Linked DNA regions of Tribolium castaneum. The protein of the gene in region 1 binds, or shares a complex with, the protein of each later gene. Links are inferred from orthologs where the notes say so. Each region holds a gene or a part of one and is shown on either strand. Other genes may lie near its edges.

Region 1 (4,422 bases):
ATTTATTTTTTCTTCAAGCATTTAGACAACCAAGTCGTTTAAAGACGCTTAAGCGACGGATTTGCTTCATTTTGCAGGTAGACAAGTATTGGAAAGTATTGGAAAAATTTATACATGAACTGTTGAAGATAGAAATAAGATGTTGCAGACATTTTTATGGAAAATGTAATTTTTTGCAACTTTTTTTGTAATTTTTTTTTCTGTACCTTAACCGTATTTGCAGTGTCTTGAAAAATATGGGACGAGGAGCAAATTTAAAATTTTAAATATTTTTAAATCAACATTTTTACAATTTTGTCCAAGTAATTAGTAATTAGTGAATTGATTGCATTTAAATTAATTTAAAATGATTTGGCGCTGAGACGGTATAACTCTGTCGTACTATTTTTTTGGGTTCAGAAAATTCTGCGATTTTATATCACGTTTCGTCTACTAAGTTATAGTTTTCCGTAGTTATGTACCTTCAAATTTTCAGATGAATATTTTTACCATGGGCGCCGAATTTTTTTATTTTCAATGAGTGCACTACCCAAGTTTGAAAAATAAAATAGGTGTTAACAAACCTGAAAAAAACTACATTTTTTTGTCTGATTTCATTTAATCTAAAGTAAAATCGTTTTATGAAAAATTGTTAAGTTATGAAAAAAGTTGGAGATTTTAAAAAAGTTATATAAATACTACTTTACTACTAATTAAATACTACTCTGCTGATTAGGGTCTACATTTGTAGGTGCAAATTTGTATTTATCTACATGTTTCATCATTTGACTAAACTTATTTTTTAACAAAAAAAAGTTCAATTTACCTATATTATCTTGAATATGTACCAAAAATTGCAATAATATAATTTCTTCTTCTGTTGTATTATTTATAATTGATGCTAAAAGGGGCAGAAAATGTTTGGTATTTAATGTTTCAGTATATTTTGTTCGATTTAACTTATTCTTTACGTGGAATCGATATTACGATATTTAAAAAAAGTTTGTTATTTTTATTATTGTTTTTTTTTCTGTTAAATTATAGGGCCAGTTTACGAAGGGCCAAAAAAGTCAGTTTACTAGAAAAAAATCATATTTCAACATTGTTTGCTTGTTCAGAAAATTACAAAACAAGTTCTAAATTTGTATTTTTCATTAAATATAATTTCTACTTTCTTCCAATTATCTTATTTTTTAACAAGGACTGCTGTCCTTAATAAAAAATTTGCTCAATTAATACAAAAATAAAAAAATACCTCTTTACTCGTTTAATCTATTTTTTTAAGGTTTAAAGTACTGTACTTTATTTAATGAGCCATAAACGACTTCTACTGATAGACGTTAATAAACGTATTATAAATGCAAAGTATAAAAATTGCTTCAAAATGATGAGTTATCATTATCTTTTATTGCTAAAATTGCCCAGTTGAAGTATGTTTTTCAAATTTGGATGATGCAAAAATGATTTGTTCTAGGTTGGCTGCAGCGCAGGAGGCGGCGGCACAGGCGGTGCAGCAGCAGACGGGGGCGGGCGCAGCTGATACAATGGGTGGAGCCAGCGCGGCAGGAGGGCAGGGGCCCAGCTCGTTGTTCCTGTTCTCCGAGGAGAATCCTATTCGTAGACATACGCGCTTCATCATCGAGTGGCCATATCCTTTTACAAATCACGTTTTTTAGCATTATTTTATTCTTTAAAACAAACCACATTGGAAAGACAAATCAGAAAATCCCAGCACCTTCTGGCAAATTTTTTGGCATTTAATTATTTAAAGGAGTGGTTTATTTAAAAAAATCACCCTGTTTTAGAGATGACTGCAAGAAAAAAGGGTTGTGGTTGTAATAACTGTTATATCAAGAATATAAGTACAGTTTTTTTTCCATCAGGTCCTGTTTTTAAGGGTACACTGAATAACGGGAAATAGCACGAAAATAGCTATAACTCATATGAAATGGGTTAAAAAACAATAACATAACATAAAAAACAACAGAATCATAAGATCAAAAATTACAGTTTTCAACTTTTCTGTTTTGGATGGCAAAATCTTCTTGCTTGAGACACCAGCAGTAATCTCCCAACATTGCAGTTACACACAGTTATACCGTTGATCAGACATGCCTACGTTTCGTTTTTTAATTTACTTTTGAGGATATGTTCACTTTTTGCCAAATTAACATGCGTTAAGAATTTTTTTTTAATTACACAACAAATTCAGAAAAACGCAACATGAGCATAAAACTATAGACTTTAACTTATATTATATAAAAAGTATGAACTCGAACCATTTGTAAATAAACGTAGTTTGAAAAATTATATCCCCTCATAATACACAAATTTTCAAAATTTATGTGCGCATATCTCAAAAACTAGACCTGAAGTTCCAGCAGGATCATCACACTTGTATAAGAATTTAAAAATACATATACAAAATCGTCTCACGAAGTGAATTAGAGTCTTCAAAATTTTTTTGGAGTTATTTATTATACAAGACAATAAAGAGATTGTTTATCTACGAATGAAAAATTTAAGTTCAGGAGCGACAAAATTTTCGGTAGAGAGACAATATTTATCGTCGTGTATATAGTGGCGTATCAACTTATTTTGGCTCTCAAAGCTCTAAGAAAGTTTCGCTCCGCTCGATGATTTTTTCTGTATGGGGTGAGTTTGTTAAAAGTATACTTTACTATCTCAAAAACTAAAAGTCGAACCGAATTCAGTGTTTGTTCATAAGTTTTTCTCTATGTATGTGATTTTTTTCAGACAATTTCTTCTTTTTTTTTAATTAAAATTTATTAATTAATAGTCAATTTTTATACGAGTTTTATAAGACGTTTTATTGTGGTACCAATGAATTTGGAGCACGACGAAAGAGTGCTCCAATGGAACGAGTGCCACAAACGGGTGTATTATACTATTTTTTCTACTTTCTATTTTTGTTGTTTGTTTTTGTTTAGTTTAACTTATCAAAATCTGTTCAAATTATTCAATTATTCGGGCTTTATCAATAAACGACTTGTCACTGTTGACAGATCATACACTAGATTAGAGTGATGACTGATGGCACCCAGCCATACTGCCAATACAACTTCTAAAAATTTGCTAAAAAGAGTTTCACAAAAAATTTCTTTGTGTAACTACTTTCTACTTACTTGTAAAGTAGAAAAAATATTAATATCTACAAATATAATAATATTAATTTTTCGAAATTGTATGATTTCTAGTGTTATTCTTAAACAACGATGCTTATTTTTTGGAGCTTGCACAATTTTATACGGATTTTGATTACATAACAACATTTACCTAAGCTTTCCTTGTTCCCAAATGACACAAGGTGTATCAATTTTTTGCAGATATGTTTAATAGTAATAAGTTAATTAATTAATTAATTAAATTATAAGTAATTGTTGAAACATATTTCAGGCATAGAGGAAAATAGGGTATCTAATATTTAATAGAATTTTGTGGTGTTATTAGTTTTAGAGATATTGTAAAAATTGATTCACCTTGCATATCTCACCAAAATTTTTTTCGGTTTTAGTTTTTGATATACCTTTTAGTTGCTGCTTTTGTTATTTATTAATCGGCATAATGGTGAGTATCATAATGACTGTAAAATTGTCTCTTAATAAAAGCCTATTGTTTATTAATTATACTATAGTATTATATTTCATACTATAGTTTAATATATACTATAGTATAGTATAATAGCTAGTATAATTTTTACATAATGGTTATCAAAAAACTGCTATAACTCAGTTTTTTCAAATAAAACGACCGTATTTTCTTAACGGCAATCGAAAGAACTTTGATATTTACGGTGACTTTTATCAATACGTTTTATATTTACCTCTTACTGTTTTTGAAAAAATCACAAAAAACGAATTTTACTCCGTAATTTTCATAGTTTATCAAGTAGACCTTGCAAAATGGTTAAGAATTGTCAAAATTTATTATTTTTTTATTTTTTATTTCGTTCATTATTGAACAAACAGTAAAACAAAAATATTTAATTATAGTTTATTATAACTTAGTGAATTATGTAAAGTAACTCAGTGAATCTTTTATTAAGTTTTGAACTTCTTAAATGAAAATAGTAAACAAATAGGATATTTTTTTAATTAATATCACAATTTTATCGTAATTTTCCAAAGTTTACTTGATTAAAAATGAAAATAATGAGCTAAAATTTTGTTTTTTGCGATTATTTAAAAAACTGTAAGAAATAGATATAGAAGATGTTAATAAAAGTTTGCATAAAAATTGATGTTTTTTGTTTGCCATTGAAAAAACAGGGTTATTCCATTTGAAAAAACAGTGTATAATCATTTTTTAATCATCATTTTCAAAAAGTGATAGTAGTCTTGCAATTTGACAGTTGACAATCAGACTTCAGATGACCTTTTGAACCTTTGGCTATCAAATGCAACAAGATTTATTCATTTATTT
Region 2 (4,435 bases), on another chromosome or scaffold:
AAAAAATTCATCAAAAAATCAGTTTGTAGATGTGTCAACACTGGGAATTATTTCCTAGGAAACCGTTTCAAAAATAATTTATTTTTATTGTTGATGAAATTCTATTGCAATCACGACTGTCCGACAACGTTGCCACATATCATTTATTTAAAATTCGTTATTTATCAATAACTCTAATGCAAGGAATTTTTTTACTATTTTTACCTTCATATAGAAGCAATTCTCTACCACACACCATTGAGTTGGTACGCCGGTTTTTGAGCACTCGGTAAATATAAAAAAACTTTATTGTTGAAGTTATACATATCAATTAATATCTTAGATATTCAGTTAAAAAGGAAGAGGCGTATATTACACCATTTTTAGAAACTCCACCCCTAATGGAATTAAATGCAAAACTCCTTCATTTTTTGAAGTTATATTCAAGAGAATTGGCATATGGACCTTTTTGAAAATTACATCCACAAGAGGGTTAAACAGGGAATGAGTATGTTTGCAATTATGAAAAAAAAAGCAAAATTTACTCGGGTTTGCATTGGATCACGGTTTTAAAGTTCACAATAAACTGATGTGTTTCTACTTTTTGTTATACTAAGTTTTGCATTGTTTTTCTGTGTTTATAAATGGTTGTAGACATGCCGTGGCCAACTGCTAGTTATTAATAAAATACCAAAGGTCCTTTTAACTCTTATAGAATTTTTTTCATTATGTTTCGGCCGTTACGCCATCTGTTATGTATTTGTGTCTGAGGTTGAAACAGCTCTAACATTATCAAAAATAATAAATAAGAGTTAAAAGGACCTTTGGTATTTTATTAAGTAATTAAAATGGTTCAAAGTTTAATCAATTATGACTCGTTAAACGTCGACCATTTGTGCCAAGTTTCATAAAAAAATTCTATGTCCTTGGTGTTGCAATTTTAATGACATTGAGATAGTTTATGATAAGATTTTCGCATTATGTTTATGTATTACTATTGAGGATTTATTGCACTATTTGCCTGAATTTTGTTTTTTTTTGGTTTGCTACCGTCCATTTTTTCAAATTCATGGTTCGGAAAACTAAGACGGTAATGGAACAACTGCGCTCTCTGGCGACATTAACGGAACTACCGAGAACGGGAACGTTTTATTGGTACGTCGTTTTATATCCTAACCTTGTGACATTTTTATCTCTAGACAGACTCAAACTGTAGCGACCTGTAATTTGTCACTTACTATAAAACTAACTGGAAGATGGCACCAGACTCATTTAAAAATTCAATGATTTGATTTTCTTTATGGAACATTTTTTTTTGCTTTTATTTACTTGTATTGTAAACGATATATTAAAAAAACTAGTAAAACTTATTTTTTTTTGAGTAACGTTTCCTAGTATACAGGGTGTGCCAAGATTGGTGCCAGCCCTATACTTCGAAAACGAAAATTTCTGAAATTTTGTACATGTTTGGCCATTATTAAAATCAAATCAAATCGGAGATTTGTCGGCAGATGCCGCCGCCCCCGGCGTGACGTCACTGCTCCGGTCCCCCAAAATCAATTGCAAGACGCGCGCAGATTGATTCAATAGTGACCTATATAGTGATGCCGCCATTTGTAGCTAGTTCAGTGTCTCCGTCCTTAAATTTTCACTAAAAACATCTAAAAAAATCGGGGTGAGTTTTAGTCACATTTTTTTGCTTCTAAACCCTTCGGGAAAATCCCTATTTAAATTGCCCTTGTTGACTACGTCGCGCTCTCGGGCTAATTTGGAAATGGAATTTTCCAAAAATTGCAAAACGAGGGGGAATTACCCAGTTTAGCCCCTTTTTAGGGGTGCAAAAGCGTTGCGAAGGGTGAGCGCGGACGACGGTTAGCTTTTTGGAAATTCCCCCGGAACGCATAAATAATTTTAAAATCGATACGAATCGCGTGACAAGTAATTATGTGAAATTTTTGTGTATGGTTAGTTCGAAGGGAGTAATGATGGGTTTAATGTGTGATTAAGGGTGGGTCGATTTTTTCGACTTATTAAAATTCCAGAGGCGTTCGTCGGTTCTGATGGATCGGAATAAAGACGGGCTTTTGATCGACCAGATTTTTACATTATTTTCACACTATTTTATCAGCGATGGGCTTAAAAGTGGTTTATTATTACATGAATCGATACATGTGTTGTAGCAATTTAAGAGTGATAAAGAGTTATCTATTAGATTAGTGCTTGAGAGGCTTCGACAGATTCTTGCAGCTTTTTCCACTTTTTGCAAGCTCTGTGCTAATGATAATTCGCAAAATCAAATATCAAAAAGTAATAATTCATTAAAATTAAATTTCCAATTTTTATTTTTAGACAATTCTGCACTGTGGCAATTTTTTAATTGGAACGTTAAAATAGCGACATGACAGTTAATTAGGCAAATATCAGCGGATATTTAAAATAATAAATTAGTGAAACACCAGTTTTTTGCTAACTTTTTGAACGATTTTTGATTGTCCTGATTTATTGTCAGAAGTGCATCAACTCAATATCCAATGACAAACACAATAATGCAATTTTTTTTAGATTTTACTGCCATTTATATACTTTTTAAAACTTTGAATACACAATAAATAAATCTAATTTTTCTGTAGTTAGCGCAATTTTTTAACATTCCTTAGCAGACTCATCCTGTAATCAAATATTTCAACGGGTACAAAAGTCAAAAATATTAGATATTAAATATTAATCCGTCGAATTTATAATCATTTTTATGTACTCATTTTGGACACTTACCTAGCTAATCTTTGTTAAAGGCATTGGCAACTTATTTTGCCAGTTCTATTTTTTAACGGAAATTTAAAATATCGCTCGTTCCATGCCAGTAGGTTTTTTTCAAAATTTCCTGGAGAAATAAGTGAAATAATCGCTTCGAAAGAAAGAAATCGTGACGTCACAACCGCCTTTCATCACTCAACCTTCTCAATCGTCAAAAACTTCACAGATATTTGAACATTTTTCACACATTTTTCACAAAATCAAAAATTAACTACTTTTTTGACTAATTTCTGTTCTAAATTTTGCCTTAAAAACATCTTACAATTGGACCAAATGCTCAATAGGCGGTTACAACGTCATAACTCCAACTTTAATTCGAAATAACTTGAGTTAGAGAGCAGATACAGAAGAACGGTAAGCACTTGCAGTACTATCATTTAAAATAAAGTTGTTTTTTAAGTTGCCAATGACTTTAAGAATTTCTAGTTTTTAAAAGTACTCATGCATAAAGTATGAAGTCCACACTTTGAAAAATTTTGTGAAGTCTTTTAGAATTTTCAAAATTGTCAATTGCCAAAATTCAAGGCTAGTAAGATTTTTTTTCAAAATGGTTTTCAAAAAACAGTTTTTTCAAAGGGAAGGACCATAATTTCTTAACGGTAATCGAAATTTATGGTGAATTTTATCAACATATCAATTTTATCAACGTGGCCCAGGGGGTGTAATCGGTCTATTTTTTGGTAATTGAAATATTGCTATGCTGTTTTTATTTTCCGATAGATAGACCTAAAATCCACAAACTAAAAATATTTTTATTATGGACAGGATGGTGAACCAAAGTTATATTTTTCTAAATGGTACACCCTAGATATTTTTGCATAATTGGAATCTACGCAAAAAATAATGTAACTATTATGGTCTATCTTTATCCGTTTTTGGAATTACTGAACTTTTCGTTATGAAAAGACCAATTTTTGAAAAATCAATCCAAAGTCCGGCAAATTTTGCAACAAAAAAATTTAGAATACCTTGTAGTTTTAGCAAATACATGACTTTTAGTTAAAGCAAGCTGATAATATACAGAGTGTGCCAAAACGCTAAAAGTGGAATAACTCATTGTTTTTTTTATGTATTGATAGCATTTTTGATAAGCTTTCTGACGGTATAGCAAATTTAAAATATTTTTCAAAATTTTTCGAAAAAAATCATTTTATTACAAGAAAATTTGTTATCCTAGAATCCTAAAATAAGTCAAATGGTAATTTATTTTTTGGTATGTACTAATGTGACTAATTACATTAGTAATCTAATTATTATTTGATACATAAATGAATTTTGCTCATCAAGAACTAATAATAAAATAAGTAAAAAAAATATTATTTTTAAACACTTTAAGAAATACTTCAAATTTGTTATGCAAACCGCATATCATTAGAAAGCTTATGAAAAATGCTATCGATACGTGTAAAAAATATATGGTGTTCCATTTGAAAAAAAATGAGTTACTCAACTTTTTGCGTTTTGGCACACCTGCGTGTTTTAAGTAAAAGTCGACTATTACTAAAACCAAAGCCAGTAGATATACTAAAGTAGCGACACGGACCTTGACAGGGCAACAATAACGATTATACACTCTACAGATGGCTCCACCATCAAAATTCAAAAACGTACGTCAAAAATGTCAAGATTTTCTCACGTTTGA

What was found.
Region 2: the proteins of cacophony A (region 1) and Rbp are in contact, whole or in part, in a crystal structure (PDB 4Z8A), measured with the Drosophila melanogaster proteins. The link is inferred for Tribolium castaneum from reciprocal best matches to the Drosophila melanogaster genes cac and Rbp. Residues at the interface, in NP_001245639.1 of Drosophila melanogaster: Ile1688, Gly1689, Arg1690, Arg1691, Leu1692, Pro1693, Pro1694, Thr1695, Pro1696, Lys1698, Pro1699, Ser1700, Thr1701, Leu1702; in NP_732029.4 of Drosophila melanogaster: Ile1353, Leu1355, Tyr1356, Tyr1358, Leu1363, Pro1365, Asn1366, Val1367, Asp1368, Val1372, Glu1373, Thr1378, Gly1379, Asp1391, Gly1392, Phe1393, Leu1404, Pro1406, Ser1407, Asn1408, Phe1409.

Annotation. Positions count from the first base shown.
Region 1 is NC_087400.1:9,233,728-9,238,149, forward strand, and holds the start of cacophony A, read left to right. Parts: upstream 1-1,439; coding exon 1,440-1,626; coding exon of another isoform or gene 1,627-1,646; intron 1,647-4,422. UniProt on the Drosophila melanogaster protein: Voltage-sensitive calcium channels (VSCC) mediate the entry of calcium ions into excitable cells and are also involved in a variety of calcium-dependent processes, including muscle contraction, neurotransmitter release, gene expression, cell motility, cell division and cell death.
Region 2 is NC_087401.1:8,017,898-8,022,332, forward strand, and holds the start of Rbp (RIMS-binding protein 2), read left to right. Parts: upstream 1-1,530; 5' UTR 1,531-1,654; intron 1,655-4,435.